Linked DNA regions of Arabidopsis thaliana. The protein of the gene in region 2 interacts with the protein of the main gene of each other region in a pairwise test. Each region holds a gene or a part of one and is shown on either strand. Other genes may lie near its edges.

Region 1 (7,711 bases), on a different chromosome or scaffold from region 2:
CAGCAAGTGCATTGGAGACACTATGTGGCCAAGCTTACGGAGCAAAACTATATGGAAAATTGGGAATTCAAATGCAGAGAGCAATGTTTGTACTTCTTATACTCTCTGTTCCTCTCTCAATCATTTGGGCTAACACAGAACAGATTCTCGTATTGGTCCATCAAGACAAGTCCATTGCAAGTGTTGCTGGCTCCTACGCTAAATACATGATCCCGAGCCTCTTCGCCTACGGACTGCTTCAATGTATCAACAGGTTCTTGCAAGCGCAGAACAATGTGTTCCCTGTCTTTGTCTGCTCTGGTATCACTACATGTCTTCATTTGCTTCTCTGTTGGTTGTTTGTGTTGAAGACTGGTTTAGGATACAGAGGAGCTGCTCTTGCTATTTCGGTCTCTTACTGGTTCAACGTCATTCTCCTCTCGTGTTATGTCAAGTTTTCGCCTTCTTGCTCGCATAGTTGGACCGGGTTTTCGAAAGAGGCTTTTCAAGAACTTTATGATTTCTCTAAAATTGCTTTTCCTTCAGCGGTCATGGTCTGGTAAGTCATCAAACATAAAATGCTGCATTGTTCAGGTTCCAGTATCTGCATTTTAATCAAATTCTGTTTGAAACAGTTTGGAGCTTTGGTCCTTCGAGCTTCTGGTTCTTGCCTCAGGCCTTCTTCCTAACCCGGTTTTAGAAACTTCGGTGCTTTCAATCTGGTAGATTTCGGTTATCTTTGTCTTATGGTACTCAGAGTTTGTGTACTTCTTCTTTATATTTGATCAACCTCATTTCTGCAACTTTTCAGTCTAAATACTTCCCTAACAATCTGGCAGATTTCGGTTGGTCTTGGTGGCGCTGCAAGGTCAGTAACAAAATGTATCCAAGAGCTCATAAAAAGAAAAATCTCATCAAACCAACCTATCTCACTTTGTGTGTTTCTGTTAACTTGCAGCATAAGGGTCTCAAACGAGTTAGGAGCAGGGAATCCACAAGTGGCAAAACTGGCTGTATATGTCATTGTAGGCATAGCAGTAGCCGAGGGAATTGTGGTTGTAACAGTTTTGTTGTCGATTCGGAAGATCTTAGGTCATGCTTTTAGCAGCGACCCGAAAATCATCGCATATGCCGCATCAATGATACCGATTGTTGCATGTGGAAACTTCCTTGATGGCTTACAATGCGTACTCTCAGGTTTTGAATGATAGAAGATTGGCTTTGGTTCCTTGTTTATATATGTCCGGTTCGAATCCTGGTCAAATAGTTTTGATTTATGGTTGCAGGGGTTGCTAGAGGATGTGGATGGCAGAAAATTGGAGCATGTGTGAATCTTGGATCATATTATCTTGTTGGAGTTCCATTAGGATTGTTACTTGGTTTCCATTTCCACATTGGTGGTCGGGTAATAATCTTAAACTCTCCTTCTCATTCTCAAGTTCAAACACAAGACTAGTTTTATAGAAACTTTTATTTTGTGGTATTTTCATATTGTAGGGGCTTTGGCTGGGAATCGTAACAGCATTGTCTGTTCAAGTGTTGTGTCTTTCCTTAGTCACTATATTCACAAACTGGGATAAAGAGGTAAAACCTTTTAACTGATCGGCTCAGTTTTATATGTATAATAACTCTGCCATAATGTGATTCTGTTTCTTGTTTTACATGATTAGGCAAAGAAAGCTACGAACAGAGTCGGATCTTCAGATGACAAAGATGGTGACGTCCAATGATCAATAAACGTCTGAGGAAAAAGCAGTTGCAAATGAGCTTAATGAGTGCTTTATTCTTGTATGCCCATATGAACTTATTGGGAATTTCTAATTGATGTGGCCGTACATTGGTCTTTAGAAAACTTTACCATTGTTACATAGTTATTGAAATTCCTTGGATGTGTTTCCATTCTCATCGAGCATTAGTGTAATGAGATCAAAAATTCATATATGTAATACACCAACGTGTTCGATACTAAAAATTCTGGACTTTAAATTGGAAATGAACGAAGAATGAGTTTGGGATCAGAGCTCTCTTCTAAACATAGGCCAAAAACAGAGATTTTTCTATGAAGGGTGTACATGATGATTAGTTAATCATCTGTGCTTTATATTCTTTATTTTAGACAGAAAGAATGATTCAAACTATTCGTCATCACTAGTTGTGATATGAAAAATTTCAGGAATTACTGAACGGAACCAACCAGTAAGAGAGATCCTATAGGCTATAGGAACCTGAAGAACGACGTCAAGAAGAAGCCTGTTACGCGATATCCTATAGGAACTCGAGATCAAGTTTCCTCTTCAGATGAGATCTATCTGCACTGCAAATCCAAAAATCAAGAATTCATCAAAAGTTTTCATTTTTTAAGCTGACCAAGAACTGACTGTAATAAAACCAATTGTTTTTACCTGGTGATGGTTGGTCGGTTTGGTGGCCGCTCAGCTAAGATGGTGAAATCTAAAGACATTGGTGCTTGTCCATCATGGCTAGCTTGTCTCATGACATCAACACTCTGGTCCTTGAAACCATTACCAGACTTTCCTCGGTCAGGCATCACTCTTCTAAACTTATGTGCTGGTGACAGCACTTTAATGGCTTCAAGTTTACTATCAGATGACTTAGCATCTTGCTTGGAAACTGGTCTTGGGAGCTTTAAAGGGTCAGTAGGTGAAGGTGCAGATGTGAAGTACCTTTAAAAAGAAATCAAGGTTTGAGAACAAAACTAAATAACCTGTTCTTATGCATTATCCATAGGGGAGATTTTTAGGTACCTGTGTTTTAGAGCCTGCTGAATCGATATTCTAGACTTGGGGTCATAGGTGAACATCTTTGACAACAAATCTAAAGCATCCTCACTAACCGTTGGGAGTAAAGAACGTAAAGAAGGAGCAGGGACAAATTGATACTCTACATAATCAGGAAGGCAGATCATGTCAGGCCACTGATCTGCTTTTGGAGTCCCAAAGGCAGCAAAGATTTTGCTTAATTGATCAATATCACTGTTTCCCTGCAATGGAATAAGTAAGTTAGATAAACAAGTAGACAGATGCACTGGATTACTACACAATCAAAATGGAGGTTCACCTGAAGAAATGGTCTGCGTAATAGAAGTTCAGCAAAAATGCAGCCAGCAGCCCAAACATCAACTGCACCATCATATTGTTTTGCACCAAACAAAAGTTCAGGTGCTCTATACCATCTAGCAAACACCTATGAAAATTGCTAAAGGACATCAAGATACGAAAGATAGCAGAACTACTACATAAATAGCATTGTCACAACAAACAAAGCATACCTGGTGGGTAAACTTACGACCTGGGCTACCAAATATACGTGCTAACCCAAAATCTGCAAGTTTCAGCTGTCCATTGGGTCCTATCAACAAGTTGTTTGGCTTCATATCTCTGAAACAAATACGAATGATCATCCATAAGTTTAAATCAAAACAGACCTTATTAGAGATAGAACAAGTTCTGCTTCTAAGTTCCAATGATAGTACCTGTGCAGAACCCATTTGCCATGGCAATATTCAAGACCTTTCAATATCATTTGGAGGTAAGATTTGACATCACCAGGCGAAAGATAGAGATTACGATCTCGGATAACTGCTTCGAGATCAGTCTCCATGAACTCAAACACGATGTGCAAATTCTCCTTGTGAGGAAACGCATCAATCAACTCAATTATATGTGGATGCTTAAGCTCTTTAAGTAATTTGATTTCTCTAAGAGCTGTTACATTCACACCTTCTTTCTCTTTACCAAGTCTTATTTTCTTGATCGCTACAGTTTCTCCATTCTACAAATTGCCACAACAAAACAAATCAGCTTCCTTATACAAACTTAAACAAAAACTACACACTTTAAATCCATTAAGAACATAAAAATGCAAACTTTGACTTCTAAGAACACATATTAGTGTAAAGATCGAAACTTTAGCTGATTTAAAACCTAAGAGCTATCAGATTTAACCAAATTGTTCCCAGGAAGAGACACGTCAAAAGACACACGACAGAATTGGAACCCTAGTTTCGATGGGATCGACAAAAAATATGAAGAATTGAGAGAGGAATCATCTTCACCTTTGTATCAGTAGCTTTGAAGACGACTCCATAAGTACCTTGACCAAGAACCTCTCGCTTTAGATACCTATCAGCAACTTTCTTCGGCTGTTCCATCTCCGGAACTCTCTAATCGGATCACAAGCAATTGATCGAAACTGATCTTAATTAATTTGTTATCGTTAACGTTGAGGTATCTTATGATGCTCTGGAGAAAAAGTAGCCGTTAGAGCAATTACAGAAGGAATCGACATTTTTAGGGGAAAATATTGAAAAGTAAACGAAAAAGGAAAGAGACGCTCTAAAGCTAGAAATAAAACGAAGCTGGAAGCGTCTATCGTAACGACGTCGTTTAAAGGTTTATAAATGAAAAGCAAAATTGTTCCGGTTTACTCAACATTGACTCGTCAATTATTCTTCGGTTTAAAATGTTATAAGTTAGTGGTTAAACAAAAGATGATTGTGAATATTAACATTTTTTTAGCTGTATGAATATTGGAACATTGCCTAAACATACTTAGAAATTAAAAAAAAAATCCAAGAAAATAAAAAGCTGCATCAACAAGTTGCCAAATTAACCTTGCTCATATTTTCCGCAGCATGGACCAGGAGAACACTACCGGATTAACTTCCGTTTCATGAAGCGTGGAATCAAGCCCAAATATAAGGCCCAAATAACTATTCCGAGAAGGTTAGACAAGCAACTGTTAACTTCTGGGCCCATATAATGGGCTCATAAGAAAGAGATGCAGCCCAATCATTAAAGTTTGCACAAATAATTAGGCTGATCAGTCCACTTTTTTTTAGGTGACCAAAGAAAACAAAGTAAGCCTAACATTTGAGTATGAACCAGAAAAATTTAGGATACTTCAGGGTCAAGTATTTTGCTAGTGAACATTTTTCATCATACAAATTTTTATTTAAACAACTCAAAAAAAAACTTACACGATGGATAAAAAAACACACTTAAAAATAAGCCATTGAATTGTGAAAGAGACGAGACTCGTGAGGGTAATAAGACAAGTTCGTTGTAATAAATCTAGCAATAGATTCTGCTCAGACAGAGAAATAATTACCTGCTTTCGTGCCCACATCATCAGACTTATAATCCTGACCGTACATCAACCTATTTCACTATTTCGTGTTGAAATTTCTAGTTGTTAGGGCTAACAAATGATTTAGAATTAGGTCACCAAACGGAAACACTTGTACATTATTTTCTAAAAGAAATAAAGAATGGTCGGCCAAATTCATTTTCAAAGTTACATCTTAAAAATGTAGTGGACTAGTAGTTGGCAGGAACGATAATAATTGTTATTTTTATTATCTTTACCCAAAAAAAAAAAGAGTGAAGCACAAAAGCCGAGAAGGACGCATGTGACGCGTAGGGAATCTAACACAAACAATGTCAGACCCTTCCCATGTCTTTTCAGATGCACCCACCTGTTCCTTTTTTTCTTTTCTTTTTATTCTTCTATCACGAATATCTAAACCACTATAATTACGACTCTCTATCTATCATTTCTTCCAAAACATGACGTGGCCTCTTCTCTCTCTCTCTTTCCTTCTCTCTAAGTATGTTTAGGGTTAATAATTAGGGTTCCTCCTCTCTTTTGTTCTGTCTTTATATCTCCTTCATAGCTCTAATGTAAGAGATTTACCTCTTTTGGTGTTTTTGTTAATCCACGTTCTCATCAAAACTTTCTCATTGTTTTATGAAGAGTTAAAGGTCTTTACAGTTTGCTTATGTCAGATCCATAATATATTTGACAAGATACTTTGTTTTTCGATAGATCTTGATCTGACGATGGAAGTAGAGCTCCTTAAAGTTCAAACATGAGTTGAGCAGGGTAAAGAAAAGCTGCTAAGCTATGGATCCCATAAGCCCTAATCCTTGTAAAGTAAAAAAGGATTTGGTTATATGGATTGCATATCTCAGGAGCTTTAACTTGCCCTTTAATGGCTTTTACTCTTCTTTGGATTGAAGGGAGCTCTACATCTTCTTTCACCTTCTCTATTTTTTATTTTTCTTTATTTCTACTCAACAATTATTTATTCGGATTCATCTTTAATTTTCCGTTATAATTTCTTTTTGGTAAGGATTATTCGCTATAATTTGAGAATTATATGGTTATTATTTTGATTCCGAAGCAATGTTTAGCGTGTTATTTGTTTTTCTTGTAAAAAACTAGGGTTTATGCAACTGCCTCGGGTAGATGAGAAGATCCTTGGTTCTTTGGAGACTTTTAAATTTTGCAATCTTTGCTGCCATATGCACTGACTATCTTTGTATGATTATTCTCATATCTAATCTAACAACTAAATCCTGTTCTACAATCACAGTCCTTTAGTTAATTGCGAAAATAGTTTTCTGTCATATATGTAAAATGATGATCGGATCGGATTTAAAGGACCAAAGATATTCACTAACTTATACGATTCATTTGTCAACTCGAGTACTTGATTCCTGTCTTTACACAATGAAGATTATAAACTTGAAGAACATTAAAAGTTAATAAAAGTTAAGATTAAGATATAAAAATAACACATATCAATAAATTGAATGTCTTTTCGGATCACCTGTAGGAGTTGGCCATATAATTTGAAATCGAACGTAAACTACAGCAAATTTTGTTATTATAGTTTGATTGATAAAGAAATGGTTTTAGGCAGAATAATTGAAACTGAACCCTAGCTAAACAATTTCTTTTAAGGGAGTCATCATGTAAACCAAATTTCACTTAAAAAAATGATGTTTTAAACATATAATTCGACAATTTTTAGTTTACTAAAAAGATTATGATTTTTGTTTGTTTTAAATTTAATATTGTTATACTTCCATAAACAAGTTACATGTGCTACAGTTGTGAGTCTCGAACTTTGAGTCTCCAACCCAAAAGAAATCGAGATACAGTTATGTGCTAGTTTAAAGAGTAAACTTACTCAAAAATATCCGAAAAACACAGGTAAACTGATCCCAAAAACAAAATTCCGAAAACTTAGATCACCATGTCGATCCGGTCCAAAAGTTTTCATAAGAACTATCAACCAGCCTTCGATGTTTCAGACTTTCAGTCTATGGTTTCAGCACAATAAGATAATCTTGTAGACACATAGTATGTCTTCAAACATGAGGTCTCTTGGTGTTGTATGTGTAGAAACTTATTTGGCTGGTCTTGCCTTCGTTGCTAAACTGGGATGTAGACATTTTCATTATTTTGATTGTACTTTCGAAGTTTTCAAAATTGGGCCTCGTTTTTATGACCCTTCATGGAAAAAATAAAGTTGTCAATCTTCCTCTTACGACAGAAGAGGTCTGTTGCAGATCTGGACCAAACCCTGTAAGCAAAATATCCATTAACATAAGGTCAAATCTAGCCCATTAAATAGGCCCAAATAAAGGCCTAATAGTGTAATGTCAACCCTAATCGTTCAATTCTCTCACCATATTTATGTAACGACTGACTGATTTAACTAAGCCTTCTATTGGGCCTTTGGCACACAAATGTTGTAAGAGCTACTTGTGTTCGAATGAATAGTTTTTTTTTTTTTACCAACGTATGTATCGAGCAATTTCTCGTTATGAGAATGATTCAATTATTTTGAATTGTTAATTTGTTAACAATGCCGTAAAAAAAACTGAATCTTAAACCAGAAGAAGAAGTGGAAGAAGTTACT
Region 2 (8,570 bases):
GTACTCAAAAAAGCTACTTACACATTTGATGATGATACTTAAAAGCCTCTCCAAATGTAGAATAGTATTGACAGACACAAAAGTGAAACCAACCTTTTCCATTTGCTTTGCTCTACTGGATTCCACGCACTCGGTTTTGGAATACTACAAGGTCCTAGAGTAGCCTGTTAACATGTCAAGGCAGAAGATTTCAAAATTAGTAAACATCTTTATCACAAAGATGATTGAATAAATTCTCTCTCAGTGACAAAATAAACCAGTTTTCGCATAGCAATGATCCCAAGTATAAGCACAGTTCCATTGTCTAATGTACGGAGCGAGATCGTACCAACATCTACTGTAGCAAATTGCGAAAGAAGAGAAATCAACAGATCCCTATGGAATTCAATTGAAATCGAATTGACGAACCTGCTGGTGCAACGTGTAGAGAAGCAAAGAGGTATCGTTGGAGAATTTGGAGCTGAGTTGTTTGACCGACGATTGAGATCCGTCGAGGCCGACGTACGATGCGGCGGCGTAGAATCTCTCCGGGTAAGAAAGGCCAGAGCTCGCTCTCACCATGTGAGCCATTTTGTTTCCGTTGATCGGAGATTTGAGGAGGAAGCCACAGTTTCAAGTTTTCGGATTAATACTAATTTGGTTTTAGTTAATTACGAAAACTTGATGCAGCGTTTATATAGCGCGGCACGACAAGTTGCTATTTGCATGCATCAACTTCCAAAATCCAGTTTCTAACGTTTTTGACTTTTTGGCACAAAAAGAATTTGTTATGTTTGACTGATAAATTATGTGGGTGATTAGTTACACAGTAGCCAGGTCCGTCTATGACCCATAAAAGCATAGGCATTTGCATAAGGTAAAATATTTTATGTATAATATTGGCAATAAGTGTATAAGCTCTAACTGTAGAATTTTGACGGTAACCTCTTGGTTTTGTAGATTTGAAAAATATAGGATTTTGGCAATAAATATTTTAGTTGTAACTAAAAATTATGATTAAGAAATATTTGAATTTTATATTTATAAATTACCTTTTTTCAAAATGAGAAAATTGTATATCATAATTACTAAAATTATTTAATAGCAATTATAAAATAAAAACACAAATTGAATTATGCACATCTAGGTAGATGGAATATATATAAATTATTTAATAACAATTTTATAATAAAAACACAAAAAGAATTCTGCACATCTAGGTAAATGGAATCTATATAAATTTATAAATTATTTGTCTAAATGTATAAAATACTTTATCTGTTATTCATATAACTACATTTTAGATTATTAGTTGAAAATAATCGTGACAAAAAGTTAGAGGAGAGAAAAAAAAAAAAAAATCTACAAAAAAAAAAAAATCTACAACACAAAATAGGATGTAGAAAATTAAAGATTTACAGTCAAAACAAAAAGATTTTTTTTGGGGCTCTAAGTTAAAGAAAAAAACTATAACATAATTGGCAACAATTTAGTCTTTAACAAATATATTATGGCTGTAAAAGACATTTAGCACAACCAATCAAGCATCTTTACAAGTTTCATTCACAATCCAAATTTTATTTTCGATGGTTTTTGGTTATTTAATACAAATTTTCATTGTTATTATTAGGATTTGATAGTTACCGCTACACTAGTCATATCCATTTGTTTCTGTGTAAGAACAGATGTGGTAGTAACTAGAAAGTATCAAAATGTCTGGAAAAACTTTTGATCATGTAAAAAGTTGATCATTATCGCAAACAAACCATTTTTGACGATTGTTATGTACACCAAAACTTAAAATAAATGGAAGTTTTGTTATAAATTCATTAACATCTTCAGAATAAACAAAACTTATGGCCAATATCATTGTTATACATAATCTGCTCAAATTTACTAGTAAGAACAACAACGGGGAAGAAACTATAAAAGACGAATTTCTCATTCAATAAGATTAAAACTAAACCAAAGTGCAAAGGAAGAATTGCTAATGGCAGTACGAGAAACTCAACCTATGGGTGGCGGTGCCCCGTTTGGTGTATCATTGGAGCTCCTATGGGACTTGTGTTTTGATCTCTTCTCCCGTTTCTTACTCCTGATGAAGATAAATAGAGAAGGGAGTCAATTGCAGAAGCAAAGCTTATGAAATATATATAGTGGTTAAAAGAATTAGTAGAAGAGAGGTTGTTAGTGTACTCGTCATGTGAAGAACTATGTCCTAGACAAGATTTTAGCTTCCGGTTGATATGCTTCATGTCCTTTTCACTTGGGCACTTGTAGTTCTTTACCTGAGATAAGAGAGAGCATCTAGTAAAACTTCCTTTTAGATATGCAAGTTTCATTGTTAAGATAATTATGGAAGTTAGTAAATACCAAATATTCGATGTTATCAAGTAACTTTGTAAGCTCTGAAGTCGTGTGCTCAGAGTTCGGTTGAGAAACAATGTTCTCTAGGTACCTGCACCAAATGCAGTTTAGTTGAAAATACAACCAGTAAAAAGCTTTGCATATACAGAAATTCAAGACCACGAGATTAATATCATGGAAAGATTAAAAGGGTAAATAATCGGGATGGATATAGAATAAGAGAAATAACCTATCAAAGTCAATCACTCCAAGAACCCCATTTGCAATACGTAACGACGCCAATGCCAACTACAAGGGCACACGTTCAAGAGTTGAGAGACAGTACAACAATTTGTGATACTTCTTTTGTTACATATACGCTAAAGAAAAACGAAAAATCCTGAAAGAAGGAACAAGGTGAGTATATATCGATAAGCTATACTACTATATCATAAACATTCATTAATTTCACTTAAATATCAGTCAAAGAGAAAACAAAGCACCAACTTTCATCCTAAATTTATGTCTTGAGTAGCATATTTAAAGCTTTACTGAAATATCCCAAACAATGAGTTTAACCAGATTCTTTGATGGATATTATTCAGTATCTTTAATCTGATAATAAGAGGCTAGGGAGACAAAATAAACTAGCATGCCCACCTGGCCAGGAGGAAAGAGGAGTGGAGCATCTGTGAGCATAACTTTATCGGCTTCTGCTGTCGCCCCTTTGAGCAAACTCTGCAGAATACTTGAAAAGTTATGCCAGTATGAGAAAATAATATTTCAATAAAGCCTGTTAAGTAAATAGACTTACAGCTATGATCACAAACTTACACTAAAATTTACATTTTGATCCCACATTCAGTTACCACATGCTTAAAATCTAGTGAAGATAAAGGAAATATCTGAAGATAGATCTACCTCTAGTTTTTGGATTTCATCATCTCTAGCTTGAAGAAATTCCTATAGGATGAAAAGATGAGGTTACTTTTGAAGATAGCGTGAAGTTCAACAAGGATGAAAAATAACACACCGAAAAAAGTATTGAAAATCTTGGTATATCCTATTATGGTTCACCAAGTTCTTGGCGTTAAGTTAACATTCAGAATTTTGTTTGCAACAAAACAATTGCCAATAAACTGAAAAAGAGTCTCATCACTATAAGATGTAAACAGAGAAAAGCCAGTTGAAATAAGAAAACCTACTAAGAAATTTAGACAGGACTGATTTACCTCCATGTTGTTGACAAAACCTTCGATTGCACGATACGGTGCATAAACAATCAGATCAAATTCCAAACTCTGCACATAGAGTTAATATAATATGAACAAAAGAATAGAGAGAGAAAAGAACACCAGGGAAAAATAAACATAGGGAAGTTGGTACAAATTAATTGACTCATATCATACCTGAAGAACAGCCATCTCGTACTTGAGAATTATTCGGTGATCTTGGTTAATCCCTTTCCCAATTTCCTCAGCAGATACATGATTCTCCTCTATTTTACAAGCTGCATACACACAGGTTAACCTGTTCAATGAAAGGTAACAATTAGTCCAAATTACAACAATGGACCATTTATGACTGACTTAAAAAGCCTCTCAGAGCTCAGAAATACAAAATGCTTAGCTCCATTTGGTAAACAATTTCAAAACTATTCTCTTGAAAAAAGCAAAGCTTTTGACCATTTTGAGGATTTAAAAGAACTATACATTATCTCTTTTGGATGATGTTGCATAACAGACCATTGCAGATAAAATCTCTTAAAGTATTGGAGGGCTGTTGCCTGCAAAATATTAGAAGGAAGAAACATAAATTCAGAGAGCAAACAAAAATCAGGTATTTTATTTTTAACTTCATCATAAACTTCTATCTCGACGAGTAGAAATGCACCTGAATCTTGTGAGGAAATGCAAAGGCACTGCACACTTCTTGGACCTTTGCCTCATAAAATGCTCTCATGAACCTTTCTTCATCAGCACTCAAAGGCTTAAGCTTCTTATCAGCTGAGAGTAACAAAGCAAAAAGTAACATTATTTAAACTTCGACAAACAAAACTATGATACGTATGAAGTAGATATTGAAGGAACCAAAATTTTTACCTTGATCTCCTGAACCAACTTTATCTTTAGGATATGTTAGTGATCCACTAGCATCTACTTCAACTTGAGTTGTTCCACACTATGAATAACAATAAGTTAAAATCTAAACATGAATACAGGACTAAAGCTCCATATCAACAATTATTCTAACAAACCTTCTCCAGCATTTGCACTGCCCTCTGGTTAGCAGCTTTATATCTCTCTGCCTACAATTACAACATTACAGCTTAGTTGCAATACCAATATCTCTACACAACAAGTAAGATAATAACAACAACAACACACATAACTAAGTAACAAAGAGTTCCAAATGCTCGATTAATCCGACTCTCTATGAAGCAATCAAAGCAAAGAAAATCCAAAGATGAACAAAATATAATTATAAAGCCGCATTGTAGTGATCAGAAGGAGAAGGGGATTACCAGTTTCTGGGGAGTGAAAATCCACTTGGCCCGTTGTGTTGATGTCTGAAAATCCGCCATTAACTGAGTTTTCAAAATTTTCGAAATCGAAAAATCTGAGCTTTCGAATTTCTTTGTGGAAAGTTCAGATTTTTGATCGAATTCACACGCTGTTGATGGCGATTATCCGTCTGAATCGGAAGGAGATTCTATAGATATTTCAATTTTGAATTTTAGGGCTTATATTAGAATTTAGGAGAAAAAATTATCTGGTGCTCGATTTGAATGGAGATTGGAATTGGATTGAGTTAGCTACGAGAAGAAGATGTTTTTGGTAATGAGAAGACGAGAATGAGGGAAGAGAGGAGAGCAGACGCAATATCTTGTCGGAATTCAGATGTGAAGACGAGTATGAAGGGAAAAAGAGGAGAGTACGGCAGAGCAATACAGTGTTAATGTCGGAAGTTGCTCATACGGCGAGATCGTTCCTGGCTTTGAGACTTGCGAGGAAGAAGAAACGTTGGTGAAACGACGTTCTTTCATGTTAAACAATAAACCCTAAGGTCAAACGATGTCGTTTAGCAAACATATTTATTATAAACGGTGTCGTTCGCTAACCCATTAAAACCCTTATTAACAGCCCTTTACTAACAAAAAAAAGAACAAGAATTTTCCAACCAAAAATAAGGTCATGGCTTAAATTTATGTTTCCAACCCTTAATAACACCCATACATGTGTCCAATTTATAGAATCTAAGTAAAAGTATAATATAGTGTTAATCAATCATTTTTTGAGTTTGACTCACGATTTTAGTTAGGTCTGGACATTCGGATTTTCGGGTCTGTTTAGATTGGGTTTTTGGGTTACTTTGGTAAAGAGATTGAAAATACATTTAGGAACTGAAAATATCGGTTGAGGTCTATTCGGGTTCGGGCTGGTTCTCAAATTTAATTGAAACCTGATATTGAACCTGAATTTACCGACAAATTATGTATACGTATTATTTCGAGTTACATGTATCCGTTTGAGTTTCGATATTTCAGGTATCTGTTCAGGTTTCAGATCCTACACGAACCAAACCAAAACCCCAAAATAAACACTTTAGATCCACTCGAACCAAAGCGAACTAGGTTTTTCGGGCTTCGGATTTTATGGTCATGCCTAGTTTTGTCCTTTGAAACATTAAAATTAGAAGTAAATCTACATATACATTTTTGCAGCCATTTTAGCAAATAAATTTTGTACTTGTATTTACAATGTCATGCCATTGACATTAAATATTTCCTGTCGATAATTAAATACAAGATATTATATTCAACAATAGTTGCCAAAGATCTTTCAAGATATATAATTGGTATTAATTATTCAGATTTGAAAATTTAAATACTTTATATTGCGCTCAACAAACGTTTCCAAAAATCTTTCCAACTTAAGTAAAAAATAATTATTATTTTTAAATATTATAGATATATTTTAACTTTATAAAACATTATTATTATTTAAACTTATAAAAAAATATCATGAGATGAGAAATATAGCGGGACGGGTTTGGATTGATATGAAATATAGTGGGACGAGTTTGGATTGATATAGCACATGTTAAATATTTATTTTATTATTTTATCATCACCATTTGTTTTAGTTATAACATTAATATAAAATTATAAAACTTAAATACTAAATTAAAAACCGTAAAATTTAATATTATTATATATGAATAAAACATTTGTCCGTGGTACACCACAGGTTAAATCCTAGTTGTTATTAAAGGTATTTCAAACATATCCATTTGGCATTGTTCTAGAATTTTAGTTAAGGAATAGTATATATTTGAGATTTTGTATTAAGGTGGGAATAAATTATTTCAGCCATTAGGATCCAAAATGACCCAAGAAAATAATCACTGAGAAAGAAAGAAAAAAAAAACAGCTCCAAAGTAAAAGGTAACCAAAGTTACAATGAATGATGACAAAAAAAAGTTACAGAATCAATGGTAACTAATTATCAACAGCCTTTGGAGCTGTTCAAATTATTAACTAACTATAAACTAAACTAACCTCTACAATCCAAACAATTAAATCTGATCTCCAAGTGTTATCTTCGATGTCAGGTTAATTACAAAGGACACAAATGTTTCATGACGTTCTTACAAGAGCCATTATTTGAGTCTTGATCAATCCCATACAAGTTTGAATTTCTCTGTATATCGGCATATTCTGTGGACACCGTGGCTGCAAGTCATTCACTACTGTATCCATTAGCTGAGCCACATCTGCTGGTGGGTACTGCTTCTTTGAGATCATCTGCAGGTAAATAACACACAAAGAGTTCTAATCAAAACCGCATCAAGTGAAAACTTTGGTATTCTTGATTTAGATTACACTTTCGTTAGTCCAAGACAAAATTATTTCCTTTACCTGCATCATGAGCCAAGATGCAACACAAGAGGTGATAAGCTCTGAAGGCATTGGTGTTTTGTTTTTTCCTGATCCTTCCTGTGAGATGAAACCGTTACTCATCGGCTCTGCTGTGTTTAAGGAATGATGATCCAAGCTGCCATTGGTATACTCTTGATGCTTGATACCAGGCACTATAGAGTTGTCTAATGGCTGATGTTCGCCAATGGAGCTTAAAGCTTGGTGAACCATATTCTCTGAGTCTTCATTGTTCTTCCCCGACGATGCAGCCTAAAACGGTTGACAACGATTTAAACAAAAGATGTTAGAGTTGTATGAATTTGGCTTCTCTGTATTTAGAAGACTCTGAAGTCTCTAGATATATTATAAATACCTTTATAGCTGCATCCACCATTGCTTGCGCTATTGACTTTGATTCAATGACAATTTCAATCATTTCTGGCTCCATTTCCTGGAAAGCAGAATCATGAGAAAAGAATTTCTGTAGCTGTTACTATTAGCAAAAAGAGTACACAAAATAAGTCTATACTTATTCGAACATGAGCAATCTAAAGACAAAGTTTCCACAGGCATAGACTTTTTAGTTACCTGCGCATCGGAAGTATGCTGCAGTGCCAGAGTCCGTTGAATTTCTGTTCCTGTTACTTTGCTATTGATTACGATAGATTGATCAGTAGTGTTGGTTGCTATTACTTTACCATACAAAACTGGCTCTCTGATATCATCCTGCAGAGAATTATGGAATTATCCACAGAGATTAAAAAATGTATGGAAAGAAAGACGAAGATCAAAGCTTTGACACACGAGTCAAACGTCAATCTTTGTTTACCTGTTTCGCAGGAGGAGGATTCATGGAAAAGTTGACATTTTCAAGCACAGAAGGAGAGAACAGAACAGATGCATCAGAGCTTGGGTGTCTGTTAAGCCTTGCTTCTTTGCATATAGCCAAGCACTTATCAATTTGCCTCCTTAGACCCTCTGGCATGTATTCCAATGGATTTAAAGGCATGCAGTCAATGTCCTGTCAGAAAAAAGGATTTATTAGATCATCTGAGATATACAAAAAATGGACAAACTATCAACGGAATTGATATAGTTTGTGATTTACCATAACTAACTCGACACCCAATTCATCAAAGAGAACGTTGCACTTGTTATGATCCACAGTAAGAATCTTGCCATCACGAATCTCCCGTGTTTTAGGATGGATGGCAATCACTCTATTCCCGACTGATAAAGGACGGGCCAAATCTGTATGAAGCACTCCCGTAGCACATCCACGCAGCTCTGTATAATGCTTTCTCACAGACTCACGATATTCTTG

What was found.
Region 1: the proteins of CYCH;1 (region 2) and CDKD1;1 interact in a two-hybrid assay, tested with the Arabidopsis thaliana proteins (2 studies listed by BioGRID, with this or other methods).

What each region holds. Positions count from the first base shown.
Region 1 is NC_003070.9:27,711,552-27,719,262, reverse strand, and holds CDKD1;1 (cyclin-dependent kinase D1;1), read right to left. Parts: upstream 4,354-7,711; 5' UTR 4,151-4,353; coding exon 4,055-4,150; intron 3,772-4,054; coding exon 3,473-3,771; intron 3,378-3,472; coding exon 3,269-3,377; intron 3,184-3,268; coding exon 3,058-3,183; intron 2,981-3,057; coding exon 2,745-2,980; intron 2,664-2,744; coding exon 2,382-2,663; intron 2,294-2,381; coding exon 2,245-2,293; 3' UTR 1,843-2,244; downstream 1-1,842. Other genes in the region: AT1G73700 (MATE efflux family protein), read left to right, coding at 1-538, 615-701, 791-847, 938-1,176, 1,266-1,384, 1,477-1,563, 1,650-1,709.
Region 2 is NC_003076.8:9,768,101-9,776,670, reverse strand, and holds CYCH;1 (cyclin H;1), read right to left. Parts: upstream 5,369-8,570; 5' UTR 4,910-5,368; coding exon 4,850-4,909; intron 4,634-4,849; coding exon 4,583-4,633; intron 4,507-4,582; coding exon 4,428-4,506; intron 4,332-4,427; coding exon 4,219-4,331; intron 4,112-4,218; coding exon 4,038-4,111; intron 3,856-4,037; coding exon 3,735-3,855; intron 3,627-3,734; coding exon 3,558-3,626; intron 3,289-3,557; coding exon 3,247-3,288; intron 3,064-3,246; coding exon 2,986-3,063; intron 2,635-2,985; coding exon 2,576-2,634; intron 2,438-2,575; coding exon 2,353-2,437; coding exon of another isoform or gene 2,287-2,352; exon of another isoform or gene 2,268-2,286; coding exon 1,992-2,267; coding exon of another isoform or gene 1,987-1,991; 3' UTR 1,796-1,986; downstream 1-1,795. Other genes in the region: ACBP5 (acyl-CoA binding protein 5), read right to left, coding at 94-164, 409-570; ALY1 (protein ALWAYS EARLY 1), read right to left, coding at 6,965-7,132, 7,247-7,516, 7,620-7,697, 7,835-7,972, 8,076-8,267, 8,355-8,570. UniProt on the Arabidopsis thaliana protein: Associates with CDK-2 and CDK-3 and activates the CDK kinases.